Bombyx mori: one gene and its partner. The protein of the gene in region 2 interacts with the protein of the main gene of each other region in a pairwise test. Links are inferred from orthologs where the notes say so. Each region holds a gene or a part of one and is shown on either strand. Other genes may lie near its edges.

The links.
Region 1: the proteins of PCI domain-containing protein 2 homolog (region 2) and nuclear migration protein nudC interact in binary tests that used the Drosophila melanogaster proteins (3 or more experiments, as listed by UniProt). The link is inferred for Bombyx mori from reciprocal best matches to the Drosophila melanogaster genes PCID2 and nudC.

The regions. Positions count from the first base shown.
Region 1 is NC_085128.1:8,576,874-8,593,617, reverse strand, and holds the start of nuclear migration protein nudC, read left to right. Parts: upstream 1-5,087; 5' UTR 5,088-5,272; coding exon 5,273-5,347; intron 5,348-6,263; coding exon 6,264-6,341; intron 6,342-7,419; coding exon 7,420-7,642; coding exon of another isoform or gene 7,643-7,647; intron 7,648-8,329; coding exon 8,330-8,487; intron 8,488-10,452; exon of another isoform or gene 10,453-11,132; coding exon of another isoform or gene 11,133-11,173; intron 11,174-11,258; coding exon of another isoform or gene 11,259-11,658; intron 11,659-12,365; coding exon of another isoform or gene 12,366-12,500; intron 12,501-16,744. Other genes in the region: broad-complex core protein isoforms 1/2/3/4/5, read right to left, coding at 992-1,551, 2,246-2,384, 2,458-2,796, 3,146-3,322, 3,654-3,833; uncharacterized protein LOC101746542, read right to left, coding at 11,133-11,173, 11,259-11,658, 12,366-12,500. UniProt on the Drosophila melanogaster protein: Chaperone protein with functions in nuclear localization and cytoplasmic mRNA trafficking.
Region 2 is NC_085115.1:3,903,406-3,920,747, reverse strand, and holds PCI domain-containing protein 2 homolog, read left to right. Parts: upstream 1-7,864; 5' UTR 7,865-8,250; coding exon 8,251-8,466; intron 8,467-8,827; coding exon 8,828-8,996; intron 8,997-9,591; coding exon 9,592-10,400; 3' UTR 10,401-11,045; downstream 11,046-17,342. Other genes in the region: protein AAR2 homolog, read left to right, coding at 280-406, 656-1,073; Nopp34 (nucleolar phosphoprotein), read right to left, coding at 3,863-3,959, 4,469-4,530, 5,143-5,240, 5,917-6,094, 6,373-6,498, 6,573-6,653. UniProt on the Drosophila melanogaster protein: Required for the export of nuclear mRNAs and involved in mRNA trafficking in the cytoplasm.

The DNA of each region.
Region 1 (16,744 bases), on a different chromosome or scaffold from region 2:
AATGCAGGTTTTGAACCGTATTCTTTGAAGGAGACGATTATATTCAAATCAATCTGTATTGACATATGAATAACATTTTTTTGTCCAAATGCACAGATTGCCACCTTTGATAATAGACGACTCACTACATAACTATTCATTACACGTACATTATTGAGAAAAAAATAACCATTTAAAAACTATAAAATATGAGCTTGCTCATAATTATAACTAAAAGGATTCTAATAATCTATAAAATTAACTGTGAAATTTTAGAACACCAAATATATTAGCACCAATCACATTAGTTTTGCACCAAATATTTTTTTCTCAAAATCTCAAAAACAAATTTACTTACAGTGTAAAAATAATTTTATATCAAATAGAAAAAAAGCAACTGATCTTTTCTTACATTAAAACACTGCAGAGTTTAACGTCAGTCTCTACTTACATCAATTCAATTAAAATATTTAATTCACTTTAGTACAAAATTGTATTAGACGGATCAATTTTATCTTTATAAGAACTATGTTTGAATTTCGACACGGACATACTAGAGACCCAACAAATTTCCTCTTGCTTATTTTTTTAATTAAAACCATACTCGTAAGGAACCATCTCCAGCATATATAACATAAGTAAATTAACTCACTCATACACATTTTCATGTCAAATAAATTGTCTTTCAGAATCACTGAAAAGTATATGTTATAAATAATTTTAATTCCTAAGGGTCCATTGTGGTATATAAAAATACTCGAACATTCCTGTACTCAGCAATTTACCTATAAATATCGTTCCTCATTTTAAAGGTGTTTTCTTTCTAGTTAACATTAGATGGCCGAAAACACTTGATGATTGACACAAATTGACAACAATCACTATGATTTCATTGCCAATACTTTATTAACAAGGCACATTTTAAAAATATTTTACTTATATAGTGGCTTGTCCTAATTGACAAGGGACTGAGGCTAAGGCACGTAATATAAGACCATAATAATTTAAATAATTAGTTTCTTTGACCATGACTTGTCCACATGTGCTCCTTAAAAGTTTCACGCATTGTGAACGATCTTGGACACAAATAGCAACACAATCTATTCGTTAAATCTGAATGCATTAACCTTACATGATATTTGAGTGCTGACTGATTAGAATATTTCATTCCACAATGCGGGCAATCCCCACAAATAGCAGCATGGTTAGATTGTTGGTGGGACATTATTTGCGATGTTGAAGCTCCACCTCCCAAACCTGGTACAGTGGACATGCCAGCAAGTAGTAATAAAGCCTGCGATTGTTCTTGATTATATGTGTTCTCTGTATCACCATCTTGATGTTCAGAGAGAAGTACTTCTGGTTCATACTCCACATCAGATTTTGGTGACTGTCTTTCTGGTTTTACTTGTACTTCATCAGATGTGTTTTTTATTGGACTCCTAGATGAATTATTGTGTGAAACAGTTTCAGTGTTTGAATCTTTTGATCTACTGGGACCTATTTCTCCAATATTAACTGGTTTTTTTCCTGATAAATTACTGGCACTGTCACTTTTTGAAGGATTAATTCCTGAAAATACAATACAATACTCATTTTATACCAAATAAATAAAACTTCCGTCAGAAGCCGTCGTAGCCTAAAGGATAAGATGTCCGGTGCATTCGTGTTGAACTGTGAGCACGTCCACACATCTAAGCAATAAAAAATAAATAAATAAAAACTTCCTAATGTATCAGCAAAAACTCAGGAAGGCAAAAAAGCAAATACTTAGGAAGTGAGAAATTTATTTAAACCTTGAAGTTTTAGAATAGCAGCAAATTTAATTTTTGCTAAATTCAATTTTGATCTGTCTCAAGGTGCATAACATTTTCCAATTAACATCAAATGGATTATGATCTCAGACCATGTATGCTCACTATCAATGTACATCTTAGCGTTAATTTTGTAAAAACAACTTTTTTCTCAATGCCACCATGCCAGAATAAGAAAAATTAAAATATTTAATTATTGTTTGTTCAATGTTTGTAAAACAGTATTATTTTCTATTTTAAATAAGTTGTAATATGTGGTTAATTGTATATTCATTTTTGATCCACTTTTGGCAAGTAAATGATTAATATGGCCCTAAGGTGTTTCATTAAGTTACGAAAGTATACACAATTAAGTTTCATTCTGCCTTATTTTAAAGCTAGCATGGCAATTTTGAAATAATAAGGGGCAGGTGGTCAATTATTCAACATGATAATACAATCTTTTTCTTTACCTGATAACAAGGACCTTGCAAGCATGCTGTTTTCATAATCTGGAAGGCTGTCATCTTGTTCTGATAGAATGGCAGTTGATAATTCAGTTGAATTATCATCAAGCACTTCGGTTTTCATTGGTATTGAACAATCATGCACCTGGAAACAATATAGAATATTAAATTATGTCTTTTCTGAAATGAAATTAATGCTAGTGGAAATAAGTTCAAACCTGAGATGATGTACTTTTCCCATTGGCAGTTATTAGTGGAGAGTCATTTTTTCCATCACATTTCTTGTCAACATTGTTTTCAACAGGAAGCACATTGTCAATTTTGGAAGATTGTGAAAAATTGTTTAATCTAGGAATATCACATGTATCCAGGACCTTGGTTTTTTTGTAACTGTCACCGACTGACACATCATTTGGCTTGTCTGAAGTGCTGCTTCTGCGTTTCTTTAGTCCTGGTAACTTTGCATCCTTGTGGGAGGCATTGTGGTGTGGTCTTGATGAAATTGTTAACTGAGTGTATAGTTTGTTTGATGTATTAGGTGATGTAAAGTTTTCTTTCTGTAAAATAAATAAATTTAAAACTGTACCACCATCAAAGCAAGAATACTTTGAATGATCTTTAAATGAATATGAGCATTTAATTAAAGTTCAGTAAGGCTTACTCAAAAAAAAAAACAACAAATAGCAATTTTTTTTAGTAATGTTATAACTTATTAAAGTGAGATTATCATTATTACCCCTTCCAATTTATCCATAAAATCTGCTAATGGAAGCATCAACAGATTTTGTTTTGGTTTTTTACTGTAGTTGTTGGTCACAACATCAATAAAAGTTATCTATGGTATATTGGAATCTGTTTTTCATTTCTATAGTATTTCAAATGTAATAAACGTAGAACTTTCATCACCTGTTGAGTTACTCCAGTCAGTCCTTTCACTTGCAATAAGGCAGCAGTGTGAAGAAATGAAGACAATTTACTCTCTTCAATGAAAACTTCACCTTGGTACATGTATGACAACAAGCTCACAATATCATCTGCAGACACATCTTTCAAAATGATCACTGGATGCTGACATGGGTTTTCCTGAGATAAACACAAATTTTCATTGATAAAATTCAATAGAACCATTAGGTTTACTTAACAAAATATTAAAGTATATTACATTATATTACATTTTTACAAAATATTACATTTTTCTGTAATAAAAAAAAATAAAAAAAAGTAAAATATAATTTTGTAGAACCATCATTAAAAAAGTATTGAAAATAAAATCCTTTTAATATGTGCATAAACGAACATAGCATACATTTAGTAGTAAGTAGGTATATTGTTGGTATTCGCATGACATTGCATATACCATAACATATTTACTTGTAAATGAATATGAAGGTTATTAATGTCCTAAGTCATTTACCTTGAACACATTCCTGAAGTACGGACTGCACGCTGACAAAATGACTTTGTGGGCCTTGATATTTCTACCTTCACAAGTAAGCGTCACATCAACTAAATCTTCAGAACATTTTAAGGAATCCAATGCACTCACAATATTCGATTGAAAATTGTTCCAGCGTAAACAAAATTGGTCGGCCATTCTTAAGGTTTCAATTTATATCTGCAAAAGAAAAATATTTCGCTGACTTCATTTTGACACATGACATCGAAGGAAAGAAAAAACAATTGTATTATTAATTACTCACAAACTTGTTCCGTAAAGTAAATTACATTTTAATAAAACATTCAATTTCTGTGAAAACGTATTCAAATCTTCTCTATTTTTTTAGAAAATGCACAAAAATGCAATGACCTCCATTGATTTGACACTGACTTTTTCTTTCACTTTCCTTTGTCTATGGATTTTGCGTATCTTTTTGGTCTTTATTCTATGCTTGAAGTGATGGATTAGTGATAGACCTCAGAGTATAATGTATATCCCTTTACTAAATCAAAAATGCTACTACAATTTATAGTTGATGAAAACAGACATATTTTAAGCTATAATTAACAACTCTCATAATAGCTGGAGTTCCACCTACATGCTAGAAACGTACCGTGGGGCATGCCAGAGTTAAGCTGACTATTATAATCTCCGGTGGCTCAACAGGCCATATCGCTAATACGACTAAGACAGATGTCAATAAATGTTGGGGGGAAAGGTGACATATTCCCCGAAAACTCACTCTTCACCACCTTACTCCCACTTAACGTCATTCCGATTGTCGACGTCATAACCACCAGAACTCTCAATTGGCGAGCTAAGCTGCTGCCTATTGAAAGTCTTGCGCTTACGGACTACGGGTCTATTCGTTCACTTTAATAATAAAAATAGTGTTTTGTCGTGTCGGCAACTATTTTCTCTCTGCAAAGTAATATGTCCAATGATTTGATGTATCATTCAACTTGTTCTTAGAGATAGATGAACATTATTAATTTAAAATAAAATTAAAACCTTTTAAAGGAATTTTTAAACGTTTTAGTATATTTAGTAAGGAAAACTTTTAAAGGATTTTTTTCCACGAATGAAGTATGAATATACTTTATATATTATTTTATATTACAACAAATTAGCTATGAAGAATCGTTGGTTATCTCCTTGTGAGCAATAAACACAAAATAGTGTGTAAAATGAAAATAAAAGAAAATAAGAATGTTGGTTGGTATTTTGTAATCACTGAACACGGTTTATTATAAAGTTTAGTTACGGATAATTTACTTATTCCGGTCGATATCTTCACGAGGAAATTAAAGCTTTCTCGATTTTTATTTTTCTATTCATACTTTTTGTAACCATGTAGTGCAATAAAGTCATAATTACCTCTAATAATTTCATCTCTACGGTACCCTCAAATGGAAACATAACCGTAACGTGTCAAGTTGACGTTGTCATATAATAAGTGTCAACAAATCGTTTGTTTGGCTGAGATTGAGTTGCGGTTTTTCGACTCTAGCTGCAATAATTGAAAAACTAAAGTATTACCTACGTAATTTTAAAAACAAGTACCTGTGACTTACCGTCTTAATACTAAAGTAAATATGGCAAACGATCCTGAAAGATTTGATTCCATGCTCCTAGCTATGGCACAACAGCACGAAGGCGGCGTAAAAGATGTAAGAGTAAATTATTATTTTTGCTTTGTTCACAATAATATAACAGATATAAATCATGACACTAAACAATATACTTTTATTATGTCTTTATCAAAGCGCTTAGTTGTTTCTCGTTAAATTGAATATCATTGATCGCTTGCACGTGTTGTCATAACAACACATTCTAGAAACTTGGGAGGTTACTAGTGGAAGATACCTACTTTTAAAGCCTTGATGTCCCTAATACTTTTGTTCGTAGTTTTGTTGACTTTTAGAAATAAGTAAGTTACAAGCTCATTACTTAAATATCAGACACATAATCCACTAATTTGAACAATTACATTCAAAAGCACAAAGAAAGGGACAACAGTATTATTTCTACTAATGTTAGGACAAAGTATATAATTGGAACATTTTCTTTAATTCATTGCATTTTGAATTTCAAATTCATTATTATATTCATCATAGTATTCATATTATATTCATCATAGTTATTGATCTTAAATATGATGAGCATTTTATACTGTTATGTGTTTGATAATAATTTAATAAATTATATATTTCTAATGTAATGAAATTCATCAACAACTACATTATTATTTCTTTATTTATTCTATAGGCTGAATGATCTCACAGCTCATTTGGTCTTAAGTGTTATAATTTGAGGTGTTCAGATATAAGGTGAAAGTTTCAATTGTATTGGTAGTTTCGATTGCAGAATGCATGATTTTGTGACAAAAATAGGCAGGGCAGTGTGCATAGTTTGACTTTTTAATGTTTTCAATTGTGTAAAAGTTAAATCAAATTTGTTGGGAGTTGGAATGTTTCCCTATGTCTGCTGCAAGGGGCGCAGTTGCATCTGTGAGCTCTTGCAATGTGGTCTACCACTGGTAGATTTTAAAGATGAAAAGTTTAATTATTTTTTTGTTGTTTCCAGCTGCTGAACACAATAGTTAGCTTTTTGTCTAGAAAAACTGACTTTTTCACTGGTGGCCGTGAAGGGGAATGGGAGCAGGTATATATTGCTTAAAAATAATCTTACTAGTATTTTAGATAAAAACAATATATACAGTCAAAACTGTTTACTGCGACATAGTTTAGAACAACATGCCGGTTATAATAACCTAAAACAAAGGTCCCGGCTGAATGCTATATGACCGCTGTATTAAAAACATTGCTTTATACGACATTGCTAATAACGACATACCTCATAAAACGACATAATATTTCGGAGAATTAGATCTGTTAGAACGACTGGCTAAGCTGTATTGTAAACAATTTGAATAGGTATCCACATTTGTATTAAAATCAGGAAAGGAAGCAATAGGATTTAGTTTAGTGTAGGGTCTTTTCTAATTCTTAGAAACAAAACATGTGCATGCCGTAGAGTCAAAGCCCGCTTCTTCATATCTTTTCAGTTAGTTTGTTACTTATCTATACACAAGACGCACCAAAACTTTGTGGAGTTATTCGTGAAACTTTGAAAATGTCGCGAAAAAAAAAAAAACAGTATTGAAGAAAAATCGCGTATTATATCCAAGCTAGAGAACGGAATTTCAAACAAAGACTTAGCAAAGGAATATGGTGTAGTGGTGTGAGTGGGACACTCGACATATTTCAACCATTTGGAAAGAGCGAGAAAAAACTCAAACGCTTTATGACAATAATTTTACAGAAAAATAATATGCATTGTACTTATGTGTAATAAACATAATGTACATAGTTGAATAAATATAGTTTTCCAATAATTCTCTATCTATTTGTTTGTACTTGCACGATACACATTAAACATCACCGTTTGTTACGACTATCGGTTTTTACGACTGAATATGAGCAGTCCCTTCGATGTCGTTATAACAGATTTTGACTGTATATATATATTAAAATAAAATCATTGATAACTTTGCTTAGGCAAATAGTCTATAAAAGACATTAAAACTTAATAAATTTTCATATATCATAAATAAATTTGTGGATAAGATGCATTAATTTAATTAGGCAGCAGCTATACTATGCTATTAGTAATCCCTCTTGGGTCAATAATTGAAACTTGATTTTGGATAAATCTCCAATGTACAGTTTTGTTTTTTCAGGTAGTCAAAGATACTTTCTACACCCATGCTAAAAAAGCATGTGATGAAGCTAATAGGATTAAAAAAGAAAAAGAAGAAGCAGACAAGAGATTAAAAGAGATTCAACAAAGAAAAGAACAAGAGAGACTTGCAAATGATTTTGAACCTGCTACTGTAACTGAACTCACTGATCAGGAAGCAGAGAAGTTAAAGGAAGATATTGAAAAGGACAAAAATGAAAAGAGTATGATTTCTTTTTATTAATAGTTGTATTTATATTATTTTTCCACCCAAAGCTTCACCTGCGTTATCTATAATTTAATTTGTTTAGGCACATACCCAGGAACAGAAGTAGGATGAAAGAGAGTATATTCTCTCCCAAGTTCATTTTTAAATTATGATAATAGCTTTTTTTGTAAAATCAGATTTTAATAGTAATTCAACAATAGTAAAGTCAATTTATGCTTGCTTCAATTATTTTACATTAAACATGTGACAGAATTTATGACCTGACTAGATATGCATTGATTATAAGTATGTTACCTAAAGGACTCTCAGCACTCAGTTTCTTCTATTGATATTAGACTGTTTGCACTGCTTACAACCATCTTTGACATAAAAAACGAACTGATTCTTTAAGTATACCTGCAGGAATACAGAATACACAATAAGATATCGGTTAAAATCAAATTGAATAAACTTTGTAGAAAAAACCTGAGATAAAATATGAGAAATATCAAGTCCCTAAATTATTAAACTTAAATTTCTATCATTTTAGATTATCATTTCTGTTTGGATTTTGATTATGCTCATGTTTATAAGTGGTCTTAAAAGGACTTTATTTGTAACATATTGACTAGAGCAAGCACCATCACACTCCTAGGCATAAATATAATGACACCACATCAGTATATTTCCTTCATATATGCAGATGCAGAAGTTGGCAGTGGTGATAGCAGTGATGTTACTGAGCCTGCAACGCCCGAAGAAGATGACGATCCCAAAGAAAAGGGGAAGTTGAAACCTAATGCTGGAAATGGATGTGATCTGGAGCACTACAAATGGACACAGACGTTGGAAGAAGTAGAGGTGAGTCATTGGTATTAAATTCAGTACCATAGAGTTTATTCAGTTATTATCCATTCTCTACTTAAATATCCGGATGCCTCCAAAGAACACTACTCTAACTCAAAAATTTGAAATTTTCGTTTTTCACGCAAATCGCTTCACTATGTTAAAAGTATTGCAATTAATCATTATTAATGGGGTTCGAAGCAAGAGTAAATCAGCTAGCTACACAAAAAAACCATAAATATATCTGCAATAATAAAGATTTTATCAACTTTTTTCGTTTAAACGCTCCTCCTGTAAATCTACGAATTTGGAGTTAGCGTAGTGTTCATTGGAGGCATCGATCTAGTAAAATGCTTATTATATTTTTAAGAGACTCAATGGTGAATAAACATTACATGCTTCGCTGTACATGCATAACTCTGTATAAACTAATAGCTGTTGATACATGCACACTGTCTAACGTGCGGTCTTTCTATTGAGAGCCGTAGATATTTGCAACACAAAAAACCTAGTTTTGTGTGCTGTGTTAGTTCAAGTTGGTGTTAAACGTTTACTGCAATGAAATGAATTGAAAATTTCATGTGACCGCCACTTTTGAGACATGATTTCTAAATCTTAATTGTATTGAATACCTAATTTATCTTATTATCTAATTAGGTACCAAAATACTTAATACACTGCTGTGCTTTCTAAAGATACTAGTCGAAAACTACAGCGGAGACACAGCAGAGTACACTACTTTTTCTTTACATAGTTCAAATCAAAGACAAATTTGTATAGTGTACAATAGAAGAATACAACAGCTTTCTCCTTTACTTTTGATCATACAACACGTTTGTTTACCGAAACGTCTTTAGCTACTTCATCGACAACCTTGAAATCTCAATTGCTTTAGAATAGACTACACCCTAAATAATTTACGAACTACTCACGCCCTGACGGGTAAGTCGTACGTTGTACTCGTATCGAATTCGAATATACCACATATTTAATAAAAACTAGATGATGACCGAGCTTTGCTCGACTTTTTTTTTTGATAACGCCATCTTGTTGTGTCTATAAAGCGGTTATTTGCCCACAATAAAAAAAAATAGTATTATTATTCGCCGACAGATGTCGGGAAGAGTTGATTATTGAAAACACGAATAAAACAACATTTTCTGAAAATAAATCGTAGCTAGATCGATTTATCGCCCCCGAAATCCCCTGTATACTAAATCTTATGAAAATCGTTGGAGCCGTTTCCGAGATTCAGATTATATATAATAATATATTAATATACAAGAATTACTCGTTTAAAGGTATAACATATATTATCACAAATTTCTTTTCATGATGAAGAAAATTGAGTCATAAAAATCGAAATTGTTAGCTGGCACAGGTATCTCTGGAGTATTACTACGAAAATTTGTCACGTTTTGTAGTGTGATGGCTGGGACAGCTGTGTGCTCAACCTATCGGCAAACGTAGGGGCTCTGTTCAAACTCCATACAAATTTGAGTTAACTTTTACTCGATCGAGAAGTTAAAAAACTCGCACTAAGCACACTGCTGTGTGTCTGTGGGTCTCGGGCGGTGCCGTTTGGGTTGTGATATCTATGGGCTTGGTGAACCAGACGAGCCTTGAAATCCCCCAAAGGCAACAAATAAATACTAAACCAGCCACATTGATATTTATCTCATCTAGAAAAAAAAAAAATTTTTTTTCATCGCTTAGATTGGTCGACGAGCTCACAACTCACCTGGTGTTAAGTGGTTACTGGAGCCCATAGACATCCACAACGTAAATGCCGCCACCCACCTAGAGATATGAGTTCTAAGGACTCAGCGTAGTTACAACGGCTGCCTCACCCTTCAAACCGAAACGCATTACTGCTTCACGGAAGAAATAGGCAGGGTGGTGGTACCTACTCGGGCGGACTCAAAAGTGGTCCTCACAAGAGGTAAGAACCATTATCTGCTACTTAAAAAAACAAATTAGTTTGAATAATAGTTTATTTTGTTTCATTATCACAGTTCAAAATATGTAACAAATTCGTGTTTCATTGTAATCGTTGTTCACTTGAATATCAATTAATATTACATAAAATTACTACATTCGCTGGCGAAAATTACATCAAAGTTGCAGTTTTTCATGAAAATTACGAAAAAATGCAAATTTTATTTTTCAGAACATTGATGCAAATGCAGTGTCGTTACTAAAATTACTTATTGCTTAAAAACTATTGTGGTATATTAAAATAGCTTGAATTTGAGATACAATTAGACTAATCGTCAATATGAATAAAATAAACTTCTAACAATTTACACTAATAATAAAATACCGTGTACATCAAAGTTTAGACTAAGATTAAATTAATGAAAAAAAAAACAACTAAACTTTAAGTTACAATAAATAATAGGCTTTTTCTAATTTTATTTACCTAAATTCCAGTAAACTGGATTTTTATTGCACTAATTCATGAAATATACGTAGTTGCTTATATAAAACAAAACAGCTTGTTGAAATTCTGAAAGAATATAGTTCACAATATAACGAAATTTTTTTTTTCAATTTAAAACATCGTGTATCAAAATTATCTAAACATTTGCTGTTAAACTACGACCAAATAGTAACTAATAAGCTGGTAAAAACTTCAAAGTTCTGGTCTTCTTTGAAACTTATGAATATTTGTACATGCCGGTCTCCTTGCGCATTCGCACTGAAAAAAAAAACAAGACATTAAAGTTAATTTGCATTACTGAAAATGAGTTTATAGAAAATAGTTTTTATTTAATAATACTCACTTTCGACAAAGCATATCGCTGCCAGTATACACGCAGAGAACAATATAGTCATCGTTATCACAAGGACGGTTATCTGGTGCGAGTGATTACAACAGCAGGATTTGTTCTCCTTGTTCGGACATTGCTTCGTATAACCATTTACAACTGTGAAGTGAGTTGAACTAGCTATAGAAGTGGCGTCTTGGTCGCGCGAGCATTCCGTCTTCACGCCACTCCAAATGGATTCGTTGTGATCGTGTGGCTCCTCGGGAATCGCGACCACTGCTTCTGGAAGAGCGTACTTGCGTTCATAGCCGCCGAACTTGCTATGATACGGACCCAGCTCCTCAGTGTTGCTGCTCCGTCCACTCATGCGTGCCAAGTGAGCCGCGCTGAGTAACAATGAACCCGACGAAACGCTCTGAAACAGTGCAAGTAATTTTCAAATGATACCTAAAGGCCACATGTTATTTATTAGTAGAGGAGGACTTTTAAGAGGCTAAAAATTTTACAATAAAAAATATATATAATTTATAAATTGACATTAAATTTATGACCTGAGACGGTAACTTGGTTCGACCACCTCACTAGTTCGAATGTGCCTAAATTTTTGCACCTTAAATAAAAAGAATCGGAAATGCCTAAAAAATCGCGTTAGTAAAAGAATGGGTTTATGCATGCAAATGACAGTATTGTATCTGTACTGGATTGTGTCGTGAACATCCATGTGAATCCTGAACCGGACTCTGTAATACCAGTCAGTTCATTGATCTCGTCAATTAAGAAAATTAACGAATACTATGACAAAAACTATTCAAAATGATACAAACAAAAAAACTACAATTATGTATTAAATTAATCAATTAGAGGACGTCATTTGCAAAGTCAATCAAGCACCAAATTTACATCAACTTGGGCGGAGCGAAGTTCACTTTTTGCCTATAACCAATAAATCTTGTACAACAAAAAAGTTTATTGTATGTTTTTTGATCAAATGCTGGATCCGGCTAATTTACGTAGTGTCCTAATGTATTTAACCAGTAATGTTACTACGATGCATTAATTAAAGCGGAAACGTATATAGATGCCTATTATTTTTGTGACGCACAAATCAAAAGGTCATCTTACGTGGGTGCTATGGTTGCTAGAAGAGCCTTGGCTGGAGGCGGAGCCGCCACGAGATCGTGAATCGTTGATGCTACCGGATCCGCTACTGCTCGATAAAGAGGGGCGAGGAATATGCCATTCATGCGTCGACGGAATCTGTAACAATATTGTATTAATTTCCAACTGACTTAACGCACAATATATTATTTACAGGTCATGTTTAACCATACATACAAGTTTCTTGTATTTAACCAAAATAAGTTTTCGTTATTTAGATTTAATTCGCTATTTAAGCAAAAGAAAATCGAGATAATGCCAAATAAACATGTTTAGTTTGAATTCGCGTGGATGAGCTTATGGCTCATCTGAAATCAAACGGTAAAGTAATTATCTCACTCTCAATTATATTTAAATAACTATTTACGCAAAATGGGTTTCATGCAGAAATAAATATAGTTGTACTAGAAATTGCAGGCTCGTAACAGGACTTATTGAACAAAGGTATTCAAAACTTATCCCCAAAAAAATAATAGAAAATAAGCCAAGCACTGTGTTGTAGATAACAAAACACTTTCAATCGTCCTCCTCAAAAAAGTAGTAGGTACATTGATTGATTAAATAAAAGTTGCATTGGACGTGTTGATTGTCTCGTCTCGTGGTTTAACCCACTTTCTATTCGTCATATCGAAGACGCGTACCTTAAATCTAGCTCTTAAGATTTTAATGATAAAAATCAGTTAAACATGCACACAAATACAAGTACATATATATACGAGTATATATGGGTATTTTTTTAATAATAATTTGGAAAGTGTTCCAATTTAAGCCTTGGCCTTGAAAGGCCTCCCTTTATTGTTGTTTTAGTGAAGCTAAAAATTTCGATCGCTTTGTTGATAGATCGCGAGTCATACGCATTCAATCCTTTTACAATTAATTGCTATGCGTCTAGTATGTCTTTGTCAGTCTTTGTTTTATACTCGATTGTACAATTACGTTGATTCTTTGATTGTTTACGTAATTACCGTTTAAAAAAATTAGGCTTTGATGGAAATTGTTTTTATTTGTATGTTCGTTAGGGTTACGATTGCTTTAACGCTTTTTGGGAAACCGACTAAGGAATCTGTAAATTTAAATAGGGTACATATTATTAGGAAATGCAAAATTCATGTAAATGTTAGAAATTTTGCACGGAAATCGTGTTAAACCTCTTCCTTGTCGGCTCTTTAATTTGCAGAGATGCCGCCGTTCCGTGTCGTCTTGTCTCCCTTTCAATTTCAACACAGTCACTTTTATGCAACCAACGTGATCTATCGCCGTTGTGATTCATGGCGATAGAATTAAAATAAATGAATTTTATAAAAAAACTCTTAGTTTTTCCATACATTCTTTTTAAGGGAAATTTATAAATTAATAGGGAACACGTTTCAGTTACATCAATGACGTTTTAGGTCAAGTTTTGTTCGGAGTCCGATCGATTTTGTCAGATACGGTGCTCAAGGTTCGTGTTCTCTTTATTTGCGGTCTCGTTTCGTCGGCCTCTGATGCAATAAATCTTAGCTTTGCTTTCGGCTTCATGGTCCTCTTTGTTACTTTGATAACGCGATGGATAAGCGTTTTAGGCAGTCGGTATCATTAATGCATTTTACTTTTATAGTAGCGCCGCGAGGTCAATTTGATATTTTGTTTTAGACGATGCCGTTACGAGAATTACGAAATACGAATCGCAAGGTTGAATTTTAATTTATTTAATACGTTCCGAGTTTGCGTTGACCTATGCTGGTATTATTTTACGGACACGCTGGATGCTGGGGGACAGTATATAAATAATGCAATCGGTACAACGTCCTAACATGGCATACATTGCGAAATGTTTCGGCGAGTGCAAAGAACCGGTTCCGGGGTTCGCATTGCTGCTTGGAGTAAGTAATGCCTTGACAGCGTCGTGTGCCCGCAATATATGCTAATACTTTCATTATTTATCACATTTTTATAAGATAATTGAGGTTTTTTTTTTGTATAAATTATTTAATTATATTTAATACTGGATGACCCGGCAGACTTCGTAGTGCCTCAATCGATAAATAAAAGACCTAAGCTTTTGTATAAAATAAACTTAAAATAAACAAAAGGAATCGGTCCGACGGGGGACACATCATAGGGAAAACAAAATTGTTATTTTTATTTCATTCCGATATTTTCATATTTATCTGCCTTTTAAACCTTCTCTGGACTTCCACAAATAATTCAAGACCAAAATTAGCCAAATCGGTCCAGCCGACCTCGAGTTATAGCGAGACTAACGAACACCAATTCATTTTTATATATATAGATTTGTTGGCAATTGCCAAAATTTGAGTATGGTTTGCGCCGGTACATGTTAAGATTTAAGAAAAATTATTTCTATCATTATTTCTTCTATCATATTTATATCATTTCAGATAACAAAAGCATTTTCCAGTATAATCACAGTTTTAACGTAATTAATTTTCTTCTTATTTCTAGCGTTTTCCCGGTCTAGTGACAGGGTCTGCTTTTCTACTTAAAATCCCCTAATTTATTATATATCGAGGAGTGAAAGGCTTTTTGGTTTAAGCGACATTTTTGCAACCTTACAGAAGAGTCATTTAAAGTTTAAAATTTGGAAAAAATATAACAAAAAACTTCTTCAAGTGTTTGAATGAAGTAAACTTAATTGTAGTTCAATTAAAAACATCAAACTGTTGATGCTAATTCCAAATAAAACGCACCTTTAATTACATAGATAAATGTCGCATATTAAGAGAAATGTCGCTTAAACCACAGCCTTTCACCCCCACGATATATTTTATAATTATACGTAATTAATTTTAACAGATTATTTTTTTATCAAGCTATCTATCAAGCGATATTTAGATCTAGTAGTGAGTGATTGAGTGATTCAAATAGTACCCGATTTGTCTTAATTCCGATTAAAGATTAATGTACATGAAACCTACGAATAAATAATATATTTGTTAGTTACACCTGCGCCGCCAATTGGTGGTACAATGTCGGAACCTCTCCTAGATAGTCAAACTTTTCAAGTGTTTCATTGTAAACACGCTTAAAACACGAAGTCACACGATGTTTAGTTTATAAAAAGGTCCTTTATCATTTTTAATAAATAAATAGAAAATACAATTGTCTTTTATCCCCGTGATCGTGGCCTGGGTATTAAAATAAAAACATTATAGGGTTGTCATAATTCCTTGATACGCGTGCAAATTTTCTAGTTAATCGGACCTTTTTGATGTTGCTTTAAATTAACATGAAACATCCTTCACATATATCTATTAAAAGCTTGTTAAAAGCCAGAAATATTCAATATTATATACTAGATACTAGAGTGTTGCATAATTGTTAAGCACGTGTTGGTATATGGATATACGGGCACGATTCGGAATTGATTGTAAATTACACGAGGTGAGAACTATTTCGCAGATTCCACGAGAAAAAGTCTTAATTTATTAGGCCTTTTAGATCTCTAGTGGACATTTCAGAACATGTAATGCCTTATTACTATACTGTTAATATACATTTAAACTGTATTTGTGTACAGAGTAACGATTTAATTTAGGGCCGCTACCAATACATACAACAAAAACCCAACCGCTTCGCGTTTTACACAATGTAAACAGATGACTTCATTTACGCGCTAATAAATCAAATTGATTCCTACTTCAAAGCAAAGTAGAAAATTATGTATTATTTTTTCATAAGAATATTTCAAAAGTCTTAAGTGTCGTTATTAAGTAGGCTTTTTAAAATAATTCGACATTTGTAACGGTGACGAACCCGTCCGTGCAATAACTATAGACAGGTGTTCAGTTGTGAAACATGTTTGGTTCAACGAGACGGTCTAGTTATGCAAGAACGGTAATCTTTCGTATAAAAAGTCAATGCGTGCGCTTCGTCATGCGTGCTTATAACGGTTAATTGTGTTACCGCGGAATCAAAACTTCTCGTAACAAACTTCAAACGTGAACAAGAACTGAAAATTGTCACTTGCGTTATATAATTTCACAAAAGTAAAATACTAATTAGCGTTTCGAAATATTTAGGTTACAACAACAAATGCCCTAACTTCCTAAGTTAAAATTTCAATACGCCACTCTCGCTTCGGAAGACATTTTTGTACAACTTTCATAATCTCAAACAATGGCCGCTACATTTATTATGATAATCAGTTAACTTACTGGACTGTTCTCCTTTAGAAGAGAAAGCGTTCGTTCCTGATCCGAACCTCTTCTTGGAATACATTCGTAGAAGCAAATGTCATGCCACGATAAAGTCGAATAAAAAGTTTTAAATGTACATGGCAGTTTCAACGTTTCAGGTTGTATGTTTTTTACTGGTGGTAGGACCTCTTGTGAGTCCGCGCG
Region 2 (17,342 bases):
ACACGCCTAATTAATTACTGATTGTAGGACCTGTGAGGCTGCATGGATAGGTTATCACCAGCCTGCATATTTCTGCCGTGAAGCAGTAATGTGTTTCGGTTTGACTATACCTTAGAACTTATATCTCAAGGTGGGTGGCGGCATTTATGTTGTATATGCCTATGTGCTCCAGTAACCACTTAACACCATGTGGGCCGTGAGCCTGTCGTCTGTCCACCCATGTAAGCAATAAAAAATATAAAAAAAAATAAAAGAATTCTAAAATGTGAATCTTTACAGGAGCTGCTATGAGATTCACAGAAATACCTCAAGATAAATATCCACCGGATGCAACACCAGAGGAGATCACGAAACATTACTTAGATCAGTCATACTCATTAGAGCTCATGATAGCACAGCATAATGAGTAAGTATCTATTTTTATTAACTGTTAGTATTTTAAGAGAAATTTGAGGGTATCTTAATATAAAATTTTGTTGACTACATACTACATTCATATGTTGATTACATATACAGTTGAATGTCTATGATGGATATTTTAAGCATTGTTCAGTGCCGAAGTTATCAGGAAGCTAAAGTCAAGTCTCGACTCTTGACATGATTAAATGCACAAAAGCCAAAATCTAGAATTCTATATACGTGTTTTATTTTTCAGACCTCTACACATCATAGGAGAACTGCAATTCGCATATTTGTGCTTTTTGATTGGGCACTCCCTAGAGGCTTTTGAGCACTGGAAGAGCCTCGTCATACTCATATGTTCGTGTGACGAGGCCATACACAAATACAGAAGTGTTTTCTTTCACTTCATTAGGACTATTGAGGTGCAAATCGAAGAGATGCCCGAAGATTTCTTAGCCGATATAGTGATGAATAAAAATTTAGTATACAAGAAACTCCGTGAGTTTTTCCGCACGGCTTACGTAAGCAAAGTCGACGGCAGACTTTTGACGATGATTGAACGCTTCAAAGATAACCTGACCGACAAATTGCAATGGGATTTCACTGGTCTAGACGCTGACGATGAAGACGAGAGGCCGGTCGTAGTGAAACTCGACGATGGAACTCAATAGATTATATTTAATGGCTCCTCTTCACAATCGGCCATGATAGGCCAACAAACAATCGTCCATCATCGCCGCCATGATGGGGCAACTCTCCACACAATCGTGAACGTTTATTTACTGACTGTCTACTGATATGTTAAGACGTCTAGGTATCGATGATGGAAATCGAGGAGATCGCGGCTGCGGCAATATTTTTAGTTCTATATAGTCTATATAGTCATTTAGTTAATGTGCGCGAAAAAAGAATCGTGAAAACTTTTTTTTCTTAAATCCCTCTTGTAGACAGACGGAGTCGCCCATGGACTTCAGCAATGCAAGATGAAAGAAGATAAGGTGGTGGGTGGTGGTTATCAATCGGACCAAAACAAGGTCCACGCAACCATAGTTTTAAAGTGGACACAATTGACACACATTCGAGACAACTACATCCTGACTAATCGGCGATGGTGTGGACGCTCACACAATCATGGGCCATCATTCTTTTGATCTACCGCCACAACGCCGATTGCGCACGATCATACGCGATGATGGCCGATCACACACATTTATGCCCTCTACACTATCTTGAGTTTCTATAATCGCCCATCATGGCCCATTGTGAAGAGGAGCCATAAGGACGGTTTTCATATTTCATTTAACTTGGATGATCTGTGCAACCGACACTTTCCAAGGTAGATGATATTATCCTAATTGTGTACTGTGTACATGTAGAACCAATTTTATGATATTATTTATTAGTTCAATCGTTCATAGTAACAAATGTTTGATTACATTAAAAAAAATTGTTTACTTTAAAAACTTTTCTGAATGTTTGTAAATTTCCAAAAAGAAATTTATCATATGTTCTGTCTATCAAAATCAAATTTATCATATTATATTCTATCAATATACTGCAAGGTTGAAAACTTTTGCAGTGGTTTGATTACGTAACAACATTAAGTTCAATGTGTTATGACGTCACAGATCAGTAACTTTTATTACTAATTTACAGACTGCATGGGGCTAAAGAATTAGTTTTTTTTACTCAATACACCGAATCCATAACTAGTTAGAATAAGAAATATTACAAATAGATTTTTTTAAATTAGTTATATACATAAACAGCAAAATTCCCTATAATGGGTATAAAGGTTCTTACATAATGTAGACCGGCTGTTTGGGAATTCGAAAACTTTTTGACAAGGTTTTCAATATTTACATACCTTAAGAATAGTTACGAAAATGTGTGATCAAAGAGTAATGGTAATTATAAGAATTAATATAATTTATAAAAAATATTTTTTGTATCATAATTTTTCAAATTAAATAAATGGTACCTGTAAACAATTGCATCTATTTACATTTTTAACTTTAGTATCTTTTTTCTTTAACTGTGCTGATCCCAAGAAAAAGTTTGTCGCCGGATCTTTTCAGTGGGTCGCGTTTCCGACCCGGTGGTAGATTCTGCGAAGCATGGCTCTCGCTAGGGTTCATGTTAGTAACCTCGTCAGGTTTGAGCCCCGCGAGCTCACCTACTAGTTAAGGTTACGCTGAAATAGCCTCTCAAAGTTATCAGCATAGGTAGTTTAAAAAAAGTATGGCCTTGTACGGCGCTCCCGTGTGCAACGCGGTTTGCTGCTCCGAACTCAGCGGACGCTAGCGGTGAGGGTCTTCAGGGGATACAGTATGATCTCCTGGGAGGTCGCCTGCGCCTTAGCTCGGTGGAGGCGCACTGCACCTCATCTTAGCATACGCCAAGTGGAAGGAGCGGTTGCTGGAGGAACTTGGCCGAACTCCTGTCACCCTCTGGCGCACCTTTTTTTTTGTTTTCCTGCCTAAGCTGATAGCCTTGAGAGGCTATATCAGCGTAGCCTTAACTAGTAGGTGAGCTCACGGGGCTCAAACCTGATGACGTTTCTAACACGAACCCTAGCAAGAGCCGTGCTTTGCAGAATCTACCACCGGATCAGAAACGCGACCCCCTGAGAAGATCCGGCGAGAAATTCAGTGGGCTGTGTCTGCGGGTTAATTTAATCGTCGAGCCCTTCGTCATGCGCCATGGCCAGGTTTAACGACGTGAAGTGACGTCCCGTGAAGCTGAAGAGCACGAAAGGAAGTGGGATCCCTCTTCGGCTCCTCAGTGAAGAAGGTGGAATGAGCAGCGCGGGTGCGAAGCCCCGTTCGTCTCCCGTAGAGGTCGTCGGGTGCCAGGTGCGGAGGGCCGCCTGGTGCTCGACTGTCGATCCAGTGGTGAGGCGGCGTAAGGTGGCTCCTGTGCGCCGCTCACGGTGTCCCCCCCGAGGCGACGTCTTGCAGAATCTTCCCGGGGATGAAATCCCGCTCTATTATCAGGACGGGTATCGACGAAGGCGGACTTTCGGCGCGCATTTTGCGGTACTGTGGGTTTCATGAAGTCGGAGTGTTGGAGCCCAGTGAGGTTTAGTCGGTAGTCAATTTTTCTCGGCGGGTCTTGTGTGGCTGACGCCGCGCACTTAATCATAAAATGCAAAAAATAAATAAAAAACATTTCTTGTATTGTATTTACTTTGACTTAAATATTATACATTGCTTTTTCTTTTTTCATTGTTTACTGATGGGGTTCTTTTTGTACTGCTTCTTAAGCTTCAACTTCTCAGTGTCGCTTGTGGTACTGTAACAACATACCCAAGCAATAATAATCAATACAATAATCACATTGACACTGAATAGCATATAGGAGCCGAGATTTTATGGAAAAACCATGAAGTAATTCATTAATAGAAATCAGATTGCATTGTATTATGAGAAACGAATTCATTTTACAAACCTTGTTTTATTTACTCAATTTCTGTTAATTCTTCTGGGATATCTACGGGCATGAAGAAATCATAATTGATGCCCAATTCCTTTAACTTTTTCTTTGTTTTATTTAAACTGAAATTGAAAAATAGAAAATAGTGTAGATAATTTAATTTCATTATTAGCACTAACATGGAATTAAGATATATAATCAATATTTTTTTTAAATCTACTAGTTCTTGTCCTATTTGGAAATATTCTTTTGGTTCATCATACAATTTCCCAAAATAGACATATTTGCTTCGATCAGAGTTAATTAGATTTAATTATAATAGATACATGCACACAGCAAGTAAAGAACATAATTTAAAATTAATTGACTAAAATCTTTATTGATGCTGATCTTGTTTTGATCTTAGTATCTTAGTCGCTAGCTAGTAATGCAAGGTGGCACTAGTAGGTACAACCAACCTACTCATTTCTGTTGCAGCATTTGACTATGGTAACCACTTAACACCAAGTGGACTGTGTGCTTGTTCAGCCGTCTATATGATAATTGGTTTATTAAAAAAAGTTTGGGTGATAATGTAACAAATTTCACTAGTACAGTAAACTCAAGACTTTCAGTAAAATAATTAACTTACCTTTTCATTAATTTACGAGCACTTCTTAATTCTTCAGCATCACTCTTTACTGCGTTGTATTGCTTAAAAACAATTGATTATTTTTAGTTACTTATTAAATATTTGATATATCGCACCTTTAGAATTTAAGAGACCCATTTCGTAATTTTTTTTATTTTGACTTTCATTAAAAAATTGACTTAGAATGTTTTTCGTTTATAAAGGGACAAACTTGTCCATCTCTTTCACACCGTCTCCTTCTTCTACGTCTTTTCAGTTTGAAATTTTTTTCAAAAAAACACATTTTTTCGGTTGGGTCTCTATAATTCTAAAGGTGCAATATATCTCTTATGGTAATTTTATGATCAACACATCTTCATTGTTCAATGAACATATTTTAACAATAAATTTACGATTGAATGGTAAACATTACAATAAAAATTCCACATTCAATTGCTGTTGTTAGAATTTTATGTTATGGGTGTCAAAACCACATACAAAGCAAGGGCATGTATATTTACTAAAAAACAAGTTTCATTCACAAAGATAATAGATATAGAGAACTGGCATTAGCAATTTGCAAAAACCACTAACATGTGCAACATACATTATCTACTTTAATAATACTGAGTACACCAGATTTTGCTTGGGCAATCTTTATAGACATTTGAAAATTAATATTTTCTAATACATACTTTTTTAAGTTTCAGATTCGTATTTAAGACAGGATTGTTCTGAGGGTTCCATGTGTATCTCATGGCCCATCTTCGTTTATCAGGTGGTATGTAAGCAGCTGAAAATGAATGTATTTTTATTTTTTTACCAGTCATCCAGGTTTAGCCAAAATAAATTTGTTTCACCAGTAAGTTAAGGTATTAGTTAAGCAACATTAATACATAACAGAATCGAAAATGGATTGAAAATTATGAATACTAAAATGTTAGATATAGTAGTGACACTCTTGTAAGATTACTAGAATTTTTTAGGCTTCCCAACAAACAGAATTCATTCATTGATTTATGTTGAGAATATTTTTTATTAGGTATTTTTTTATTAAAATTTTATAATTAATGATAAACTTTAGATGCGCATTCATGTCCATATACACACAGCTCTAGTGTTTTCTGTCTACATCACAAATCATCAGCCTTGCTTATATTTAGTACCATGCTATTATTATCAGATCACTTTACTATAGGAACTAGAACAAAATTATCACAATGAAAATATTTGAATGAAGAACTAAAGTATGTCTCATAATTACTGATTGTCTTGTTTGATTTACTATATTGCCTATTTGTGTCTATTTATTGTAAGTAAATTGAACCCTATTCTAAAGCTATGGATAATTTGAGTGTCTATCAAAAGGTTGCCTTAAGCATTTAAGATTCCTGTGATGGCTTAACACTAGATGAGGTATAATGGGCTTATATGTTTATTGATCTACACCCATACATAATAATGTATACCTTTTATCAATCTTTTCCCCATGAGATAATTATTCATGGTCTCAGCAACAATTTGTGCGACAGCAGGATCATGAAACTCTACAAATGCATATCCTTTAGATCTGCCAGTGCGCCTTGATCTGATCACTCTACAGTTAGAAACACCTCCAAACTGACTGAAGTATTGTGTCATTTGATGCTGAAAAAAACCCACAAAAGATATGAGTCTAAATAATTGCAAATAATTTGTAAAGTATAGCTTTTTGGGCAGAAATAGGCAGGGTGGTTGTTACCTAACCGCGCCCACTCACAAGACCTACCACCAGTAAAAAATTAATAAATGACCTTTTGTACGTTTTTTTTATTGGTATTTACAACAAATCAAATTATTCCAGGCGGTCTATTAACAACAGGGACTCTTCTTCGACGGTGGGACGGTAGTTTGCCAATTAAAGCAAAAAAAGAATTGTAACCAACCTCATAAAATCCATGTGGGATATGTCCCAAATAAACAAGCCCTCTTACACGTTTCTTTTTTTTTATTTTCTCTTCTTGTACTTTAGGGGTGACGGGGGTCTGATCCTTCGCTTGCGTTTTTTTCTTCTGTGATATAAATAAGAATAAGTACACTGGTTTTTTATAACCTAGTCTCAAATATATAATGTTATTAATACTACCTTTATAGTTTTTTGCAATCCTTTAATGGATTTGATAAACTTTTTTTGTTTGCTAGAATCCAACGCAACGTTTTCTTCCATTTTATTTCGTAATTTAAAATGTGATTTAAGCAAAAACTTAGAAGTGTAAATAAAGAACAACAAAGTCTTCTTTTTTAATTTTTAGGGATTTTATGACCTGGTAAGTAGGACCTTTAAGTCAAGTCTTATTTTTATTTTTATGAAAAGTGGTATGAAATGAAGGAAGCTGATTAATATAAAACAATGCACGAAATGTCATAAAATGAAAATGAAAATGAAAACGAAGTGAGACGAGACGAGACGAGATGAAACGGGACGAACGAGCACTTTCACAGATACTAAATAGTTAATAAACCACCGTTATTACACATTTAAACCTGAAGAAACACTTAATAGACAAAAATTTAATAAAACAAATCTCACAACTTCACTCTTCGCATTCCCGCCAAAAAGTCCCAAGCCTTCTCGTGTATTAAGTGCACAGATTGATGTTCGTTTTAATATGTATCGTTTGCGTCAGATAGGTGTAGGCATTACATATTATCTATTTTTTAGCTGCAAATACGGTACATCAATTTAATATAAAAATAGATTCCCTTTGGCTATCTGGTAGAAATAACAAACTCTCGTGTAACAGACACAAAAAGCTCAAGACCTTTAGGCGGGATCGTGAGAAAAGGATTAATGTGACTTGTTACATTTTGTTCATTTACTTTATGCTTAAACGTATAAAACAGTGGTTCACTAGCTTTTTCGCACCTGTGTTAATGCTTAAGGCTATGTTCCGATGTACACTGGGAGCACTGTAAAATATAATGTAAAATTAGTATACTGCGAAGCCATTCCTTTAATAGCTGCACTGGTTACTTTTTTAAATGGAACACAGTACAGTATAAGGGTGAGACCGATATATTAGTATTCATTAAGATATTCGTAATACAGCTTGGGAATTTTTAAATGCATTACTTTTTAATGTTTGAACCTTCATTTCTTGATTCCTTGAAGTCAAATTCCTAGATACAATATACTATTTATATTATTAATAACTAATGTGTATTATCTATGATTATTAACTTATTTCACGAATACCGTATTAGGTTTAACTCGTTTACCCGTTTTATCAAAGTATATTAAGATATCAGGATATTCACGTATTAGTTAAGGTATTATAATATTACATAACGAATATATTTGTATATTGACAAATATCAGTATTAACCCATCGTTAGTACAGTATGATGCCTGCAATTTGTGTCTCAAACAAAAAAAAATGTATGGTTGCCGCTGTTATAATTCACTTCATCTAAAAAAATAAATAAACATTTGATTTCACTTAATTACATTCCATTTCACATAATAAGTATAGTCTTGGCCTTCCAAATGCTTTAGCGGTATAGACTTCTTTCCGTGTGCCTATCCAAGGAATGAAAAACTTATCCTTTCTCCAGTTGAGCTGTGGAAAGTGGAAATGACATATAAAGAAAACAAAATTTCAATGTTTTCATGAGACCGATTTTGCGCTAATAAACTCTGATTCTTTGATAAATATCAATCATGAAATGTCGATTGACGAAATTATAGGAAAAACTACATTCTTGTAATTTTGTATATTAAAATTAGTCATTCAAAGTTAAAAATCCAGTAATACCTAACCACAATGTCGATGATAACTGGCACTCTTAATCAATACATACAATGTGTGGAACGTATGTACAGAACGGGACAAGGTAACATATTGTCTAGACTGTTGTCTCTAAGAGATGAACATGTCTACAATAGGAATCTATTATCTAGCGATATTGCAACCCTTGTCACAGGAAATTGTGTTGCTCCATTAGATGAACTTGTAATTGCACACTTATCATGTCTTAAGGTGAGATATATGAATTTAATTCTGGTTTTAAATTGATAAATATAGATTAAAAAATAGTAAATGTACCATTATTAATCTGGCCGTTACTACAGCGAACATTACCTGTTAAGTGTATTTTAAATATATCGTTTTATTAGCTTCTCGTCAAATACTTTTACTGGTGGCAAGACCTCTTGAGTCAGTAGTAGTCAGAAGCAGTAATGCATTTCGGTCAGAGACTGAGACCTTAGAACTTATATTTCAATATGGGTGGCGCATTTACGTTGTAGATATCTATGGGCTCCAGTAACCACTTAACACCAGGTGGGCTGTAAGCTCATCCACCGATCTAAGCAATAAAAAAAAATGCTTTGCATTCCAGGCATTATATGCAAGTGATTACATTGAGGCATACGATCATCAGAGTATATGTGTGGCCTCTGTCGTAAAGCTATTACAGGGACAGAAAGAAGAGAACTGGTGCCTTCCGGTTATGTATGCTGCATGTTTAGATCTTAGACTTGTTGCACAGAAAGCAGAGGCATCTAGCCGTAAGTATGAATTTGCATACATCATTCAAGAGCTAAGATAAGATGGTAATAGTATCAAGTGATTAGGGCATTAAGAATAAGATGCCTGGAGTACTCATATTGAAATCTTCAAATGCCAAGGAAAATAATGTGTCATAGAAATGAGATCTTATAGTATTTATGATGGTCGGTTGTGTTATAAGTTTGCACAACTAGGTATGTATTACCAAACTGCTTGTTTCTGTACTAAAGCAATCATGTATTCTAGCTTGAAGAATAGTGCAGCAATTACACTATACAATTCAGCCTTAAACTTCATCACTTAAGGCAGACTTCACAAAGTAACGTCTACAGACTCTAGTAACCACTCATCATCTGGTGGCTGTTTAAGTGCAGGTTCCCTTCTACTCAAGATTTGTCTCCTTAGTCTTGTTTGAAGAATGACTAACCCTAAGTGCTCAGTATATTCACAGGTGGTAGGATTCAACTCTGTTATGGTGGTACAATGTCGAAAAAACGAAATTATCTCAAATACTTGCATGAGTTGTTGTCTTAGTCAATATTGTGTTAAATAATCTGTATTCTGTACAATTAATTTCATTTGTCAATATTTCAGCTCAAAATGGCAGTAAAATTATGGAAAAAGCAGCAGAGAGCTTATTAGCTTGCTTCAGAGTCTGTGCTGCTGACAACAGAGCTTCAGATGTGGATACCAAAAAGATAGGCATGTTGTGTCTTGTAAACCAACTTCTTAAAGTATATTTCAGGATAAACAAGCTCCACCTTTGCAAACCATTGATTAGAGCCATTGATTCTTCACCATTCAAAGATCAATTCCCACTGGCCCAACAAATTACATACAGATATTTTGTGGGTCGTAAAGCCATGTTTGACTCAGACTATCGTCTAGCTGATGAATACTTATCGTTTGCTTTTGAAAATTGTCACAGAAGAAGCATACGAAATAAAAGGCTCATTCTAACTTATTTAGTTCCTGTGAAAATGCTGTTGGGTTTCATGCCCGCAAAATATTTACTAGAGAAATATGATTTGCTACAATTCTGGGATCTAATATCAGCTGTGAAAAATGGAGATTTGCGTGGTATCGATATGGTTATGGAGGAACATGAAAAGTTCTTCATAACGGCTGGTATTTATTTGATTGTAGAAAAATTAAAGATTACAGCATACAGAAATTTGTTTAGGAAAGTATATTTAGCGGAGAATTCACATCAGATAGACATAGCCAGCTTCGAGGCAGCATTACAAATCATGGGACAGGAAGATGTTGATTCAGATGAAACTCAATGTATTGTTGCAAATCTCATATATGATGGAAAAATCAAAGGATACATCTCATACCAACACAAGAAAGTGGTTGTCAGTAAACAAAATGCTTTTCCTCCATTATCTAGTCTGTATTAAATTTATACCATTTAAATAATACCTAGGGGAATACACACTTAATTTTTTGATTGTTTTAATAAAAATTAAGATTCCATTAGCATAAAGGCTGATTAAGTGAAATGTGATGATGAGCAATTGTATATCTGACGCAATTTCACTATTTAAATACTTTCTTTTTGATTACATATAATATCCATAAAAATACACAAAACAGTTCAGTAGTCCAGTTTTTTTATTTTAGTAGCACTAATGTGTTTAGGGTTGTCATTAAATAAAATAGAAACTCACAACGGTAGGGGTGTCTTTACACCAAAATATGTCATTAATAAAACAAAATATTATACATATAATACATAACATGAGTCCAAACCTTGTCAGTGAATATGGTTAAGCACTATAACAATAATATCTATTAATTGAGTGTAATTAATGTGGATTTTAATAAAAGATGATGATGATGAGAGATTAATGACATGATGTGTAATTGTTTTGAATCCTGCTTGATCTGTATTAAGTTTAAAATTTAAATAAACGTCTAGGGATTACAGATAAATAATAATTTTGAATTCGATATTTCGCGTCGTTCGGAATCTCTATTTATGAAAATACTATTTGTCCCTGTTTTGTATCGTATGTTGCAAATATATTCCATTACCAAAGTGAGCAATAGTTTCAATGTTCCCATCACTATTGTTTTTCAAATTTTTATTGAATTGGAACGTTTGCCTACGTTTGCCGCTAGGGGCGCTGTTCCAACTGCATACAAATTTAAGTTTACTTTTACGCTATCAAGAACGTTAAAAACTAACACTAAGCACACTGAGTAGATGATGTTATGGATATAATTGGATAGTAAACTTAAAAATACATAACCAGTTATATAATAAAGGAAAAGTTTTACTGACGTGACAACGTCTTATAATTCGATGGAGCTGGCTGCACGCACGAAAAAACATGACTCATAGAGGCGTTCCATTTAAGGCAGTCTTTCTCAAAGTGGGCGATAACGCCCCCTTGGGGGCGTTTGAAACCTACAGGGGGGCGTTAAGGGGCCTAGGAAAAAATGGGGGTCGTTGGTGTGGGTTAGGGGGGCGCTGTAAAATTTGTAATTTCATTTACTTTATAGTATTTTAAATTTCACTAAAATTAAAACCACCTACTACACAATAACGAATAATTACTTTATACTTCTACCCTTTATGATGTTATAAAAACTTAAAATAATTAACATAGATTTCGCAGGATAGCCCACACACCGTACGCCATCAAGTTGTAACAAGTTTCTGCGGAACATGATCGATGATAGTTAAAAAATTAGAGCAATTTTACCTTAATTACATTGCACCAGAAATTATTTTAAACATTAGAAAAAAAACTACCGTGCAGTTTTAAAATATTACACATACGTAAACTAACACAAATTGAGGTTTTCTTTACTTTCTTTCTTGTTTTTAACATAAGGGCATTTTACAGCATTTTCCTAGCATTTTATAAGAAATTACTGATGTAAGAATCATAATTTTTATATAAAATGGAAATGCGTATATAATTATTGTTCAAAAATTTGTCTTAGATTATTATTTTTTACAATTTACCCATTACCGTCCAATGTCAAATAGTATAGTAAGCCTAAACAGCTCACTTATTGTAAACATTACTATTTTATTTCTATATAATAATAGGTTGGGGAAAATTTTTCTTCGCATTTTTAAAGAAAATTCACAACATTTTTTAATATAGTTTATTCACATTTAACTAAAGTATGTCGGTACCATTTTGTTCGATAACTTTTTGCCATCTTGTAGGTAGGGACATGATCCCATTGCTATAGAAATTTTGGGGCTTCTGATCAAAATACCGCGATAATTGGTTTTAGCAGTCCTCTCGTGATGTTAACCTGACACTGCCTAAAGAATTCTGAAGAGACCGAAACAGGTAGAAATCTGAAGGTGCAAGGTCAGAACTATACGGCGGATGCATTAACACCACCCAGCCAAGCTCTCTTAATTTTTGCTGAGTGGCTAAAGATGTGTGAGGTCTAGCGTTATCGTGATGAAAAACCACACCCCTTCTGTTGATTAATTCCGGCCGCTTTCTCTCAACTTCTTGCTTTAATCTCATCAGTTGTTCGCAGTAGAGTTCAGAATCGATGGTCCTGCCTGGTGGTAACAGCTATAATGTATAATGCCCTTCCAGTCCCACCACACACACAGCATCACCTTGTTGCGAGTTAACCAGGGTTTCGCCAGAGTCTGTGAAGCCTGACCGGCCTTTGACTACAACCTTTCTCGTACATTCTTGTCGTACGTGATCCACTTTTCATCACCAGTTATCAGCTTCTTCAAAAATGGTTCGGTTTCATTACGTCGTAATAAAGAATCACAAATGAGTACACGGTTCATTAGGTTTCTTTCAGTGAGCTTTTTTGTGTACCCAGTTTTTTTCAAATGCGCTATAACTATTTTGTGGTCAATTCCCAGTTCTTCAGTTACGTCGTAACTACTGATATGCCGATCTTGCCCCACTTTTTCAAAAATGGCATCGATTTTATCCGTAATAGGGCGACCAGAGCGACGTGCATTTTTGACATAAAAATGTCCGGATTGAAAACGCTTAAACCAAATTTGTGCTACTCTCACAGACACTGCACTAGGTCCATAAACATCGCAATTTTTTTTTCATAGCTTGCGTTGCTTTTTTACCTTTTTGTAGTAAAATTTTAAAATGTATCGAATATCTTCATTAGATTCACTCATCTTGACAGTACGAAAAATAAATAAAAATCACACATCTTCCTAATTTTAATTTGGAATTATCTTCTTTCGAATTTAAACTTTTAATGATACCAAAACCAGCCAGATACAAATAGTATAGCCAAAGAGATTTTATTACAAGTTCATACATTTTTAAGCTATTGCATAGCTTTTATCGCGGGCCTTGAGCGTGGCGACCGAATCATGAAATTCCGTAACGACAAAAACCTAACACCCCTCACTCCGCCTACCATGTAGCTCGCGTTCAACACATTCACACGTTGCGCTTGTGTAGTGTTTGTGAATAAGCGCGTGGCGTGACGTCACACTGCATGCGCATCATGAAAAGTCTGCCCATCTCTCTCTCGCGCGGTTTAGCTTATGAGTGTGAAGGGGACAGTTAAGGTTTTGCCTTTATTAAGGTTTAATATAGCGTGGTCTTGTTTTATGATTGTCTTATTATTAAATTATCCTTGTCTAATTATAATGTCATAAGTTGATAAAAAATGCTATGCAATAGCTTTACCGCCGCAGTTCCCGAGTGCCACACGTTTTTTTTTTTATTAGGAGGAAATCGCCGGACTTCCGCCCTTCACTGGGGATGGAGGGCGGGGCATGTCGGAGTCGAACCGACTAAAACCTCCGGTCGCTCAACAACCAGCATCCAAACCTCGCATGAGACAGAGCTCATGAAAAGGCACAGGGGGGAAAGCGAAGCGTTTAGTGCGGAGCACATCTCTCCCATCACCCTCCCCCTCGGGACGCCGGACTGGCGGTCGTCGGCGCCACGACCACCAGCCCTCTCGGTCGGCAGGCTGTCCGAAGCCCGCCTAGATGGCGCCGGTTAGAATGGTCTATCCTACGGAATACCCCGCTGGGTCAGAACCAGCGCGGGTTGAGGATAGCCGGCCTTCCATTACCCGGATTGTCATGCGTAAAACGTGTGCATAGCAGCTTGCACGTCGTCTTCTTAGACCCCCTTCGCCGGTTCCCAGGCTGACATGTGAGGGAGACCCGAAACACTTAGAGGGCTAGGGCGTGGGCGAGATCCGCTTCCCTGGACCCCGCTCGACGGCGGCGGGCCTGTGCATCTCTCACGCGCCCCGCTGCCTCCTTTTGCGAGATGGTGCACTCGCAGAAGTCGAGCATCGCCTTCCACGACTCGTCGTCACCGAGCATCGATGCCAGAACACTCGGCAATGACAAGTCGTTTCCTATTTTTGCGACGAGGACACGCCGCCATCCCTTCCATGCGGGGCAGGCGACGAGCGTATGCTCTGCCGTGTCCAAGTCGCAACCACAATGGTGGCACTCTGCCGTCGGCTCGGCTCCGATCCGGTGCAGGAACTCACCGAAGCAACCATGCCCAGTGAGTACCTGCGTGAGCCGGAAAGTGAGGCGTCCTCTGTCACGATTCACCCAATTCACAAGAACCGGGCGAATCGCCTCGACGGTCCTACGACCAGCCGAAGGATCGGCCAGCCGCCTGGACCATGACTCCAGCACGGACCGCCGAGATTGGGCCCTCCGCGCTCTGACCACACTGGGGCTGGGACGTGCCATGCCCCGGGCACGAAGGTTAGCCCGCACTGATTGAACTTTTTTTCAAAAAACAATAAAAGCCTATATCACTTGGGAATAATGAAGCTTTCAAACAGTGAAATAATTTTTCAAATCGATTTAGTAGTTTCGGAGCCTATTGAATACAAACAAACAAACAAATCTTTCCTCTTTATAATATTAGTATAGATATTAATTATTACAAATAATAAAAACGCTGACTTAGGCGGCGGTTTTTATTTGAACCAGTTCTAAATTATAAACTAATATTCTATGAAAAATTACCCATATTTATCTATAATAAGAAATGATATTAATTTATTTTTCGTAGTTTTCTTCCACCTTGCGTCGATAATCCTCAATGCTGAGGGTCGTGGCCTCCTCTAATAACTTTCTCCTGCATCATCTTGCGCCATTCCTGCCTGTCCTCGGCTGTGTGGATAGCAACGTGGACTGAGGTATTGAGAGTGGAGCGTATTTGGTCCGACCAGCGCATTAGATTTCTGCCTCTGTGCCTTCTCCCGCATACTTTGCCTGTTACCAGCAGCTTTTCCAGATTGTCACCTCTCTTTCTGGCAATATGTCCAAAGATCTCGAAACTCCTCCGCGCGCATGTAGTGCTGAGGCGCATTGGAATCTTGAGCTGGGTAAGAATGGATTCGTTGGTTCTGTGTTCTGTCCAACGAATCCCGAGCATTTTCCTCCAGCACCACATCTCAAACGCGTCCATGCGTAGGCGGTCGGCTTTCTTGAGGGTCCAAGTCTCTGCGCCGTAGAGAAAAATGGAAAAGACGAGGGAGGTGACGAGCTGCTTTTTGGTATTCCTCGAGATGTTTCTGTCCGCCCAAACACGGTCCATTTGGGACATAGCTCTCTTTGCCATACTGATTCGCCTTCTGAGGTCCTTTTCGGAGGATCCATTACTAGCTATGACGGAGCCCAATTAAATGAAATCCTCTGCGACTTCCAGGTTTAGCTTATTCGTAGTTTATTAAGTTATTATTGTTAGTAGTATTATTTACTAGTCGAAATATAAATTTTTAATTATCTTATTATGAGAATCTTATATTAATGAGAAAGATATTCAACAAAAATAGTTTCGTTCTAATTAATTAGCATAGTAATAGTACAGTGAACTAGCAATTTATTTTGGTAATTCTGAATTTAAACAAACATATTGATGAGAAGAATTCATTTTTACTTTGCAAATTTGTAAATACACGCTCTGTAGCAATATACGGACATATAATAATATGAAGAAAAAATAATAGCATCTACAAATACATATGTACTACGTGTACTAACTACATTTACTAAAATTAATACAACATTTATTAATTAAATTAATGAAATTGTGGTTTTAAAGTTTTAAGGGTGTATAAAAAATGGGGGGCGCTGAAAAATAGTTGACATTCAAAGGGGGCGGTAAAAGAAATAAGTTTGATAATCACTGATTTAAGGCTTGAACTGCAAGCGAGAGCGCGCAACGAGCGACAAAGAGGCACAATCGACCTCCGCGTTCGGCAGCGTTCGACATCTGTCTCTCTCCTACTTGAGTGAGCGATGCATCCGCGTGGACAGCTGCTATACAATAATACATTTACATGTTTTCGTCAAGTATGAAGTTCAGTGAAAAGTGAATGTGGTGTCAATTGTTTATAGCAACGATAATTGCGATAATTGAAAAATGAAACCATTCCATCAGTATTTTCTTATGACGTTGTCACGTTCAACTATCAGTAAACCGACTTTACAGACAACCGATTTTTTTTAAATCGGAAAGTACATTTTCATGAAATTCTGAATTCACCTGTATAATAATAAATTAGTTATAATGTTTTTCTACCATTTCAGTATTTACCAAAAACCATTTATTTAAATATTCCGAAAACTGTTTCTGGAGAAAAATAAAATGTCTTTCCTACTGGATACGTTTTGTTATTTAAAGCTATGTTCTTTGTTAACATATAATACTCGTATTTAAGGTTGATCATAATTATTATGAAAAACGACTGCAAGGGAATGTCCTCTATCGAGCAGTGTGCTTAGTGCGAGTTTTTTAACGTTCTCGATAGCGTAAAAGTTAACCCAATTTTGTACGCAGTTGGAACAGCGCCCCTAGCGGCTAACGTAGGCAAACGATTCCAATCCATACAAATATGAGCTAACTTTTACGCTATCGAGAACGTTAAAAAACTCGCACTAAGCACATAGGTGTCATTTCCCGATAAACCGACATTCAGAATATGGTTTCGAATTTGTATATGTAACGCTAAATTATCTTGAAATTATGTTGGCTCGACATATGCGCCTGCCACATTTCAGGTTAAACGAAGGTAGCACCATTAAAAATGCCAATGACAGTAACCATTATTTTTTATTAAATCCACAATATATTTCAAAGAATAATATAAATATAGTAAATTTGCGATTTACTAACATTACAGCATCATTCCCAAGAATGCCGTATTAGTATAAGGTAATCAAGTCTTATCTTATAAACGAGTTTGATTCTAATAGGTATGTTAAACATTTCCAAGAAGATAGAAGACTTTGTAATATGCATTTTATATAGTCGAAGATTAAATTACGAGTATGTGCAAATTTGTGTTGACGGGAAACCTTTTGATTTCTTCAGCGAGACTAA